Macaca fascicularis: one gene and its partner. The main gene of each other region encodes a partner of the protein of the gene in region 2 in a complex. Links are inferred from orthologs where the notes say so. Each region holds a gene or a part of one and is shown on either strand. Other genes may lie near its edges.

Region 1 (5,261 bases), on a different chromosome or scaffold from region 2:
AAATATTCTTGGATCAGGTAAATGAAATCATTCAACAGCAGTGCCGTTAAAATCTACACTACAAAGCCCTGTGTGATCTGGCCACTGCCTACAATCTCCAACTTCATCTCATCACACTCTCCCCGCCCACCCACAACTTAATTGGTCTTTCAAACCACTCCTAGGGCACGTGAAGCTCTTTCCTGCCTCTGCATAGGCGCTTTCCGCTCATCTCTCTTCAGATTTCAGCTGAACATCACCCGAGAGGCCTTCCCAGAACAGTCTATCAAGAAGAGCAACCTCCTTCACTTCTTGCTATTACCTGGTTTTCTTTCTTTCTCTCTTTCTTTCTTTTTTTGAGACGGAGTTTCGCTCTTGTTGCCCAGGTTGGAGTGCAATCGTGCGATCTCGGCTCACCGCAACGTCCGCCTCCCAGGTTCAAGCGATTCTCCTGCCTCAGCCTCTCGAGTACTGAGATTACAGGCATGCGCCACCATGCCCGGCTAATTTTGTATTTTTAGTAGAGCCGGGGTTTCACCATGTTGGATTGGCCAGGCTGGTCTCGAACTCCCGACCTCCGGTCATCCGCCCGCCTCGGCTTCCCAAAGTGCTGGGATTACATGCGTGAGACACCGCGCCCGGCCTACTACCTGGTTTTCATTTCCTTTACTACACTTACACAAGGTCTACTTTATTTGCCTGTTTGCCTCCTTGCTTTATTACTAACAAATCCTCGAGAGTAGTGCTTCTGTCTTCTCTCCTCCAGCCCCGGCACGTAAAGGTGCTGGTCAAAGAAAGGCGGCAATCACCGACCGGACACCAGGGCAAATGAGGGCAGCCCAGTGATTCGAGATGCCGGCTGGGGAATCGGACCCATTGGGTCTTTTCTCAGCTTTCCCGCTTACTGTGACTTTCACAAGTAACGGAACACCCTCAACCCGTTTCCTCAAGTGTAAAAAGGCACTAGACACAGCAAGAAGCGGTTCTGGCAGCGCGGAAACCTAAGCACACGCTGGGTGTCACGACAACACGTGGAAGCCGCGTTCCGTGCCAGGGCCCTGGCCCCAGCCCCGGCCCCCGGCCCGCCATGTGGCGCGGCTGACCGCCGCCGTGCGCCCACCTGTCTCCCTCTGCGTCTTCACGCTGATGTACTGGCGCAGCTTCTTCACCGCCCGGTCCCGAATGCCCTTCTCGCTGGACGCCAGCCGCTGGGCAAACTGGATCTCGGCCGGCTGCATGGCGGGGGCCATCGCGCCCGCTGGAGCATCCCCGGCCGCGCAACCCGCGGTGCAGATGCCGCCAGCCGAGCGCCGCGGAGCAGCCAGCCGCCGTCCGCCAGGGCCTCGACTGCACAGAAGTCGGCGACGGCGCGCGAGTTGATGGCGTCACAAAGGCGCCGCGGCTCGCAGCGCGCTCTGGGAGTGAGCGCGGCCGTGGCCCTGGCAGCGGGCGGAGCGGCCCATCTCTTGTGCGAGTGGCGCCGGCGCTGCCTTTCGGTTGCCAAAATTCAGGCTGTACACGGCGAGGTTAGCCAGGGTTAGGACTTGGCCAGGAAGAGACGGACGGCTGTTTGTAAACGGTCTAGGATTTTTTGTTTTTGAGACAGGGTCTCCCTCTGTCGCCCAGGCTGGAGTGCAGGGGCGCGATCTTGGCGGTGATCTTGGCTCACTGCAGCCTCGACCACCCAGACTCAAGCGATCCTCCCATGTCGACCACCCAAGTAGCTGAGACTACAGGCGCGCGCTATCACGCCCCACTACTTTTTATTTTTGTAGAGATGGGGTCTCGCTATGTTGTCCAGGCTGGTCTCAAACTCCTGGGCTTAAGCAATCCTCCCGCCTCGGCCTCCCTGAGCGCTGGGATTAAGGGATTGAACCACGGCGCCTGGCCACAGTCTAGGATCTTTAATCCCATTTAGCACACCCCGTTGAGCCAGCAGCTCACCTGCGATCTCCGTGGCACGGAGTTTTTAACTGTGGAGCCCCCGGGCCCCAGGGTGGAGTTGAGACTGGAAGGAAAGGCCGGCACTGGGGCCTGTTGAGCGGGTGAAGGGCTCACCTTCCGCCAGCGCCTGCAGAGGCTCGGGCAGGTCGGCGCGCCCCTTACTCTGGAGCCCTAGTGCCAGTGCTGGGGCACCCGCGCCGGCGTCCCGAAGCCTGGAGAGCACGCGCGCTTCCAGGGGAGTTGGGCAGGGCGGGCTGCTTGCTAACTCCAGAGAGGGAAGAAATCTTAGCTTTGGGTTCATCTAAAACCCAAGAACATCCTATATTTTGCGGACTCAGCGGGCGTGCCGGGGCAAGCTAATGGACTAGGTCACTCCACACGTAGCGGGGGTTATCTCAGTTGCTCCGCTCAGTTATGTGGGCGACCTCCCGAGGTGCCTGTTGACACAAAAATTCAACCCTTAACATAAAAGCGCCTGAATCCGAGCGAGGGAAGGCGAACCGCGGAGGCGAGGTTTCCAGCAAAGACTGCCAGTTTGAAACGGTCCCCCTTAGTGTAGCATTCCTCGCCAAACAGGAAAGGACTCTTCCGATTTATTTTACTTGACACTTACATCAGGGGCTGACTTTCCTTCTGCTTTGCAGATAACCCCGGCTAAATTTAAAACCCGGGCTAAGCCAGAAGAGCCAAAGTGGGACCTCGCCAAGACCACTCCTCGCGCTCTCGGCCGAGAATACTGCGCAAATTCTGCGAGGTTTGAGCCTCGCGCCTCTCCGTTCCCGACCCCCGGCGTGGACACGTTCCCGCGCTTTCTGGCGTCAGGGGTCAGAGGGCACGCCGCCGCGCAGGAGAACGGAGCCGAGGCCGCGGCTGCTATGGGCGAAGCGGGCGGTGCTGAGAAGGCCTGCAGGGTCAGTGAGGAAGCCCTGCCCACCGCCAGCGTGTTTGAGCCGTCGCCATTCGCTCCCCTCAGGGCCGCTCCCAGTGCGCTCGGAGACGGCCTGCTGTCGTGTGCTTGGGGGAGGCCTGGAGACTTCCTCCCCGGACAGCGTGAGCTGGGCCGGAGCGGGGCGAAGACGTGGGTGGGAGGCGACTTTCGCCTCCAAACCCACGCGGGGACCCGGTCTGTGAGGCTGCGCGCGGTGGGGGCACTCAATGGCGCCAAAGTGGGCATGGGAGCGTGGGATGGATGGTCACCTCTCTCTGCCCTGTGGAAGCCCAGTTCCCTTCCGAAGGCCCTGGCCCCGTGCTCCGGGACTTAGCGAGACAGCGTCAGTCTCAGAATCTGCCCTCCATCGATTTTTTATTTATTTTATTTTATTTTTTTTTTTTGAGACGGAGTCTCGCTCTGTCGCCCAGGCTGGAGTGCAGTGGCCGGATCTTAGCTCACTGCAAGCTCCGCCTCCCGGGTTCAAGCCATTCTCCTGCCTCAGCCTCCCGAGTAGCTGTGACTACAGGCGCCCGCTACCTCGCCCGGCTAGTTTTTTGTATTTTTTAGTAGAGACGGGGTTTCACCGTGTAGGCCAGGACGGTCTCGATCTCCTGACCTCGTGATCCGCCCGTCTCGGCCTCCCAAAGTGCTGGGATTACACTGCGCCCGGCCCCTCCATCGATTTTATAACTAACTGATTGCATGCGATGGAGAAGGCGCTTGGACTCTGGGGCCAGACCCGTGTTCACATCCTGCTTCCACTCCTTATTATTTGTGCTGCATTGAGAGTCACCAAGCTCCCGTGCCTTAATTTCCATCTGGACGATCTTGGAGGCTTGGGGTGAATAGATGAGATCACGGGCAGAAGGCTTAGCAAACCCAGTGGGAAACCAGTCTAGATGACTTCCTTTTTCTCCTGATTAGTTTGGTGCTGCAATGATAAAAAGTTGCAGGCGTTTTCTTTGACTTTTAGGAATAGAGCTCTTGTATGACTTTTGTTTTTCGTGTTCTTGCTCTGTTGCCCAGACTGGAGGGCAGTGGCATGATCATAGCTCACTGCAGCCTCCAACTCCTGGACTCAAACCTTCTTCCCGCATCAGCCTGCTGAGTAGCTGAGATTACAGGTGCATGCCACCACGCCTGGCTAATTTTTGTATTTTTAGTAGAGATGGAGTTTCACCATATTGGCCAGGCTGGTCTTGAACTCCTGATCTCAGGTGATCCACACGCCTCGGCCTCCCAAAGTACTGGGATTACAGGCGTGAGCCATCGCGCCCGGCATCCTGGGCACGTTTTCATATTTTTGTAGTGACAGGGTCTCTCTATGTTGCTCAGACTGGTGTTGAACTCCTGGCCTCCCAAATTCCTGGGATTTCAAGTGTAAGCCACCATGCCTGGCCTGTTTTCTCTTTATTATTTCTAACGTGAAGCTTTCACGTTAGAAAGCTCCAGCTTTCAAAATGTTTACATATACATAAAATAGATCTATAGCAGAACATACAGTAGGTAGAGACATGATTTGAAATAACAATGAACATAAGAGGTGTGAAAGAAAAGCAGGTTGACTTGGGCTGTTTTTTTTTGTCATGTGAAGAGAAATAAAAGATCTGCTTGTTCTTTTAGCACATAGGTACTAAAGAGGAATTTGTTAAAGTCAGAAAGAAGGACCTGGAACGGCTGACAACTGAAGTGATGCAAATACGGGACTTCTTACCCAGAATACTAAATGGGGAGGTGCTGGAGAGCTTCCAGAAATTAAAGATTGTAGAAAAAAGTGAGTCTTCATTTTCAACAGTCATTGGTGGTAACAGTAATTTGTTCTAGCAGATTTACCTTAGGTAAATAATTGTAAACCAATTTTAAGGTACTCTTGCAGTCCTTGCGATGATACTTGGGAGAGTCTGATGACCTAAGAAAGGGAGGTTTCCTCAATGTAGTGACTTGGACATATGTAAGTTGGTATAAGTTGGTTGCCAGTTTCCTGAGCATCTATTATCAGCTTCTATTTCTCTCTCACTTTCTTCATTGGCAGAAGAATTTTATACTTTTGATAACTGAAAAGCGCTATTCTGAAAATTAAGTACTTACTGTCATAAGTCAAGGTTCTTGCCATCTGGAAACCTTGCATGGAGTTTACTTGTCAGTACAGAGAGCTGGAATTGTGTTCATTTATCTTTAGGTAGATGGGTGAGCCAGTTTCTAGAACTGATTGAAATGTAGGCTTTCAGCCGGGCGCGGTGGCTCAAGCCTGTAATCCCAGCACTTTGGGAGGCTGAGACGGGCGGACACAAGGTCAGGAGATCGAGACCATCCTGGCTAACACGGTGAAACCCCGTCTCTACTAAAAAATACAAAAAGCTAGCTGGGCGAGGTGGCGGGCGCCTGTAGTCCCAGCTACTCGGGAGGC
Region 2 (5,632 bases):
CCAGCCTTGGTTCCTTGGCCTCCGTGTGCCTCAATGTTTACACCTCTCTGGGAACTTGGGGCCCTTGGGTGTCAATTCTTACATCTTTCCTTTTAATTTAATTTAATTATTAATTTATTTTTTTGAGATGGAGTCTCACTCCCTTTCCCAGGCTGGAGTGCAGTGGCGCCATCTTGGCTCATTGCAACCGCAGCCCCCTAGCTACAAGCGATTCTCCTGCCTCAGCCTCCCAAGTAGGTGGGATTACAGGTGCCCACCACCATGCCCAGATAACTTTCATATTTTTAGTAGAGATAGGGTTTTGCCATATTGCCCTTTTTATTTATTTTAATTTAATTGTCTTTTTTTTTTTTTTTTTTTTGAGACGGAGTCTCGCTCTGTCGCCCAGGCTGGAGTGCAGTGGCCGGATCTCAGCTCACTGCAAGCTCCGCCTCCCGGGTTTACGCCATTCTCCTGCCTCAGCCTCCGGAGTAGCTGGGACTACAGGTGCCCGCAACCTCGCCTGGCTAGTTTTTTGTATTTTTTAGTAGAGACAGGGTTTCACCGTGTTAGCCAAGATGGTCTTGATCTCCTGACCTCGTGATCCCCCTGTCTTGGCCTCCCAAAGTGCTGGGATTACAGGCTTGAGCCACCGCGCCTGGCCCCTAATTGTCTTTTTGAGACAGGCTCTAGTTCTGTTGCCCAGGCTGGAGTGTAGTGGCGCAGTCTAGACTCACTGCAATCTCTTCCTCCGGGCTCAAGTCATCCTCCGGCTTCAGCCTCTCAAGTACGTGGGACTACAGGTGTGCGCCACCATGTCTGGCTAGTTTTCTTACTTTTTAGACAGTGTTTCGCCATGTTGCCCAGGCTGGTCTTGAACTGCTGAGCTCAAGCAATCCACCTGCCTCGGCTTCCCAAAGTCCTGGGATTACAGGCTGTGAGAAAGGCTGATATTTTAATCATGGACAAAGATAATATTGAATTGCTCAATGTTACTTCTGTAAGGCAGGCATAACAGCAGCACCCTGCCTTAAGCTTTTATCTTAACACACACAAGTTCTTAGGACGGCATCTGGTGTGGAACTCACTAGAGTCAACCCTTATCATTTGTGCACTGAATACATGATTAGGTGGAGCCAGGTTTGGGGAAGTCTTACAAGCCAGCCACTATTGAAAGCTTCAATGTAAGTGAGTTTTCTTAATTCAAAAAATAGATGCTGGCCAGGCAAAGTGGTTCATGGCTGTAATTCCAGCACTTTGGGAGGCTGAGACAGAGGTCACGAACTCTGAGTGCCAGAGTTTGCGACCAGCCTGGGCAACATAGTGAGACCCTGTGTCTATAAAACAAAAACAAAAACAGACTTAGCCGGGCATGGTGGCACACACCTGTTTTCCCAGCTACTCAAGGGGCCTGAGGCGGGAGGATGGCTTGAGCCCAGGAGGTCAAGACTGCAGTGATCCACAGTTGTACCACTTCACTCCAGCCTGGGAGACAAAGCCAGACCCTGTCTAAAAAAAAGAAAATATATATATATATGTAGTATATATAATACATAAATACATATATAAATATGTATGTATAAATATATATATTTACATATTTGGCTGAGGCTGAATCCTGAGGTGGCATGGCCTGGCTTTAGATCACATGGAACAACCTGGCAATATAGTGGGATATATAATATATACTGTATATATTTAATAAATATATAATATACATCATATGTAAATATGTAAGTACATAACTTTATAATATATTGATATATTAGAAATATATAATTTAATATATATTTATAATTATAAATATGTAATATGTAAACATAATATATTTTATATGTATGTATATGTTAAATATGAATCCATATGTATTCTTATATATAATATATAATACATACTAATTTTTTTTTGAGACAGTCTCACTCTGTCACCCAGGCTGGAGTGCAGTAGTGCAATCTCAGCTCACTGCAACTTCTGCCTCCCGGGTTCAAGTGATTCTCCTGCCTCAGCCTCCCAAGTAGCTGGGACTATAGGTGGGTGCCACCATGCCTGGCTAATTTTTGTATTTTCAGTAGAGATGGGGTTTTGCCTTGTTGGCCAGGCTGGTCTTGAACTCCTGACCTTAGGTGATCCACTTGCCTCAGCCTCCCAAAGTGCTGGGATTATAGGCATGAGCCACCGTGCTATGTATACAAAGATGTCAGTAAGCATCTTTAGCCTCTTAAATGCCGGAAGAAGACACGTCGCAATTGCTTTCAGTGATGGGGAAGTTAGTGCAGAAATGCAAGGGCCCAGGACGTGGCCAAAGCATCACCTCTTCAGCACCCACTGACTGTGAGTCCCAGTTTTCCCAGGATGGCTATTTCACAGATGTCTCAGCACACTAGAGTAGTACATAATTTAGTCTTGTCTGCACTTGGTGGTGTGCATTTATCCAATCATCTCCTAAGTATTTATTGAGCACCAACAGTGTACAGGATGCTCTTACAGGCACTTGGGACCCCGCAGAAAGTGAGATGGATTCGGCCCCTTCTCGCGTGCAGCCTAGTTGTAGTGGGGGAGACGGGAGATGACCCAGGACATTGATACTTGCAGAAAAGCTGAGAAGGGAAGAAGTCAGGCTCATGAAAGGGGATGTTTGGTAGAGAAGACAGGAATGACCCCTCTGCAGAGTTGTTTGAGCTGGGACCCACTACACACCCCTTACCACTTCCCCAGAAAGAGAGTCGGCCAGGCCAGGTTCTTCTGTGTGATCTGGAGCCAGGCCAGGCCACCTCCTGATTCAGCCTCAGCTCCGGCCAGTCCATAGGTAAAAAGCCTTTGAATCTCATGGCCACATAAGCTCATAAGTCCCACCTTTGATAGGGGTTCCAGTCCATCTCTCGCTCACCAGGTGAGCATCAGAGCGGGGGTTTCATGCCCTTGGAACGAGCCTGCTTTCTTTCAAGACAGCAGTGGCCTTGCTGTGTTCAGTTGTCAGCCATGGCAGTGGCTGTATCCCCCACTCCTTCATCTTCCTCTATCTCTAAAACAGGAGACAGACTCTGTCCTCCAAAACCCCTAAAGACCCCAAGGCTAGGAGACTCTGATGGGGACCCCCAGAGTTCCATGTTGGGCTGTTTACATCACCCTGAGGAGCCAGAGAGTAAACTGGGACCTGTTCCCTCTACACAGCAGCACGGGGAGGAACCAGGAAAGGCGGTCTGCAGGTAGGTGGCTGTGAGCATTCCAGCAGGTCTCCCCACTGACAGTCCACATAGCACAGCAGCTCAGCAGACAGCAATGCTTTGGGAAGTAGACCCACAACCTATCCAGTGCTGTGACCCACTCCTTCCCAGAGCTCAGGGCCATCGGATCTTACTTCTCCTAGCTTTCCTCGCTGGTAAGAAGGGTTGATGTTTTGGCTAGGCATGGTGGCTAATGCCTGTAATCCCAGCACTTTGGGAGGCCTAGCAGGGAGGATCACTTGAGGTCATGAGTTTGAGACCAGCCTGGCCAACATTGCAAAACCCTGTCTCTACTAAAAATACAAAAATTAGCCAGGTGTGGTGACACACCTGTAATCCCAGATACTCGGGAGGCTGAGGCAAGAGAATCGACTGAACCCAGGAGGCAGAGGTTGCAGTGAGCAGAGATCATGCCACTACACTCTAGTCTGGGCAACAGAGCGAGACTCCATCTAAAAAATAAAAGAAAAAAAGAAGTTTTAACTGTGGACAAAGATAACGCTGAATTTTTCAAGGTTACAGAACTTATATTCTATAACTCATATTCTGTCTGCTGGTCAAACCCATCCGTCTTCCACATTCCTCCTCCTTAATCAAGAAGGGAACAAAGGAATTGTTGTTATGCGAGCTAATGACCAATAAAAAAGAAAAGCAATCAGGGCTGGGCGCAGTGGCTCATGCCTGTAATCCCAGCACTTTGGGAGGCCAAGGCAAGAGGATTGCTTGAACCCAGGAGTTTGAGAGGAGTCTGTGTAACATAATGAGGATGACCCCATATCTACAAGAAATAAAATAATTAGCCAAAACAAAATGATATCTATATCCTTATGGATGTGTGTATGTATTTGAGACAGGGTCTTGCTCTGTCACCTAGGCTGGAGTGCAGTGGTACAATCTTGGCTCACTGCAACCTCCACCTCCTGGGTTCAAGCGATTCTCCTGCCTCAGCCTCCCAAGTAGCTGGGATAAAAGGCGCCCGCCACCACACTCAGCTAATTTTTGTATTTTTACTAGAGATGGGGTTTCACCATGTTGGCCAGGCTGGTCTTGAGCTCCTGACTTAAGGTGATCTGCCTGCCTCAGCCTCCCAAAGTGCTGGGATTACAGGTGTGAACCACTGCGCCTGGCCCTTATTTATTTCAATATAACCCTAAGTTTCACTAGTTTTTAAAGACACTATGTTTCTTGCATCTACAATTTCCTTTCTCTAGAATGTGTCTTGTGAGAGCTGGAGTGTCCGTCCAAATGAGAATATCCCTATTCCCAGTTCAGAAGGCAGTTCCTGGCATTATAAGTGTGACAAAGTCACCTGTTGAGGCAGTGTATTCTCCAAGTGGGACTCTGCACCCTCCTTGCCCGTTAAATGTTCTCAGGTCACTGCTTCTCCATCCCCATCCCACTCTTTTAAAGCAGGTTTTCCAGGGCCTTCCATCTAGCAGATTTTTTTTTTTTTTTTTTTTTTTTTGAGACAGGGTCTTGCTCTGTCACCCAGGCTGGAGTATAGTGATGTGATCATAGCTCATTGTAGCCTGAACTCCCCTGGCTTAGATGATCCTCCCATCTCAGCCTCCCAAGTAGCTGGGACCACAGGCACACATCACCTTGTCCAGCTAATTTTTAAACTTTTTGTGGAAACAGGGTCTCACTATGTTGCTCAGGCTGGTCTCAAACTCCTGGGCATTCACCCACCTCAGCCTCCCACAGTGCTGGGATTAAAGGCATGAGCCACCGTGCCCAGCCTAGGAGACTCTTAGCACTGGTTTCCTCTTAGATTTTGTTTTGCATTTGTCTCAATATGTGAGTGACAACCTAGGAGGATTTCAGATCCCCCTCAGTTTGTTTGTTTGTTTGTTTTGACACAGAGCCTTGTTTTGTCGCCTAGGCTGGGGTGCAGTAGCACGATCTTGGCTCACTGCAACCACCACCTCCCAAATTCAAGCCATTCTGCCTCAGCCTCCCGAGTAGCTGGGATTACAGGCATGTGCCACCACATCCGGCTAATTTTTGTATTTTTAGTAGAGATAGGGTTTCACTATGTTCCCCAGGTTGGTCTCGAACACCTGGCCTCAGTGATCTGCCCACCTCAGTCGCCCAAAGTGCTGGGATTACAGGCGTGAGCCACAGTACCCGGGCAGATCTTCCTCAGTTTTATCTTTTCCTACACAGCTCCCCAGATGAGGAAACAGGAGCTCCCTGCTGGCTCCTCCGTCAACCAGAGAAGGAGCCAGCTCCCCTTCCTCCTTCCCAGGTGAGCCTGTCCTGTGGCCTCGTGGATGTAGAAGCACCGCTGCCTCCCTTAAAGTTCCGGCTCTGTGTCTCCCTTCATTGTCCCCAGTTGCTCACTCATGGTCTACAGGGGCTGGAGGGAAGATACCCAAAGGGCAAGGGTGGAGTTCTCTCAAGGCTACAAGAAAGGAGCAGGTTTGGGT

Evidence for each region.
Region 1: the proteins of BRME1 (region 2) and HSF2BP are in contact, whole or in part, in a crystal structure (PDB 7Z8Z), measured with the Mus musculus proteins. The link is inferred for Macaca fascicularis from reciprocal best matches to the Homo sapiens genes BRME1 and HSF2BP. Residues at the interface, in NP_083321.2 of Mus musculus: Met541, Gln542, Asp543, Ala544, Thr545, Val548, Arg549, Leu551, Val552, Leu555, Ser556, Asn559, Ile562, Met563, Thr565, His566, Leu569, Lys573; in NP_083178.1 of Mus musculus: Glu23, Phe24, Val25, Lys26, Val27, Arg28, Asp31, Leu32, Arg34, Leu35, Glu38, Val39, Gln41, Ile42, Phe45, Leu46, Arg48, Ile49, Glu53, Leu54.

What each region holds. Positions count from the first base shown.
Region 1 is NC_088377.1:3,423,011-3,428,271, forward strand, and holds the start of HSF2BP (heat shock factor 2-binding protein), read left to right. Parts: upstream 1-1,396; 5' UTR 1,397-1,505; intron 1,506-2,567; 5' UTR 2,568-2,798; coding exon 2,799-2,834; intron 2,835-4,477; coding exon 4,478-4,628; intron 4,629-5,261. Other genes in the region: RRP1B (ribosomal RNA processing protein 1 homolog B), read right to left, coding at 1,100-1,229. UniProt on the Homo sapiens protein: Meiotic recombination factor component of recombination bridges involved in meiotic double-strand break repair.
Region 2 is NC_088393.1:14,313,637-14,319,268, reverse strand, and holds part of BRME1 (break repair meiotic recombinase recruitment factor 1), read left to right. Parts: intron 1-3,010; coding exon 3,011-3,185; intron 3,186-5,369; coding exon 5,370-5,451; intron 5,452-5,632. UniProt on the Homo sapiens protein: Meiotic recombination factor component of recombination bridges involved in meiotic double-strand break repair.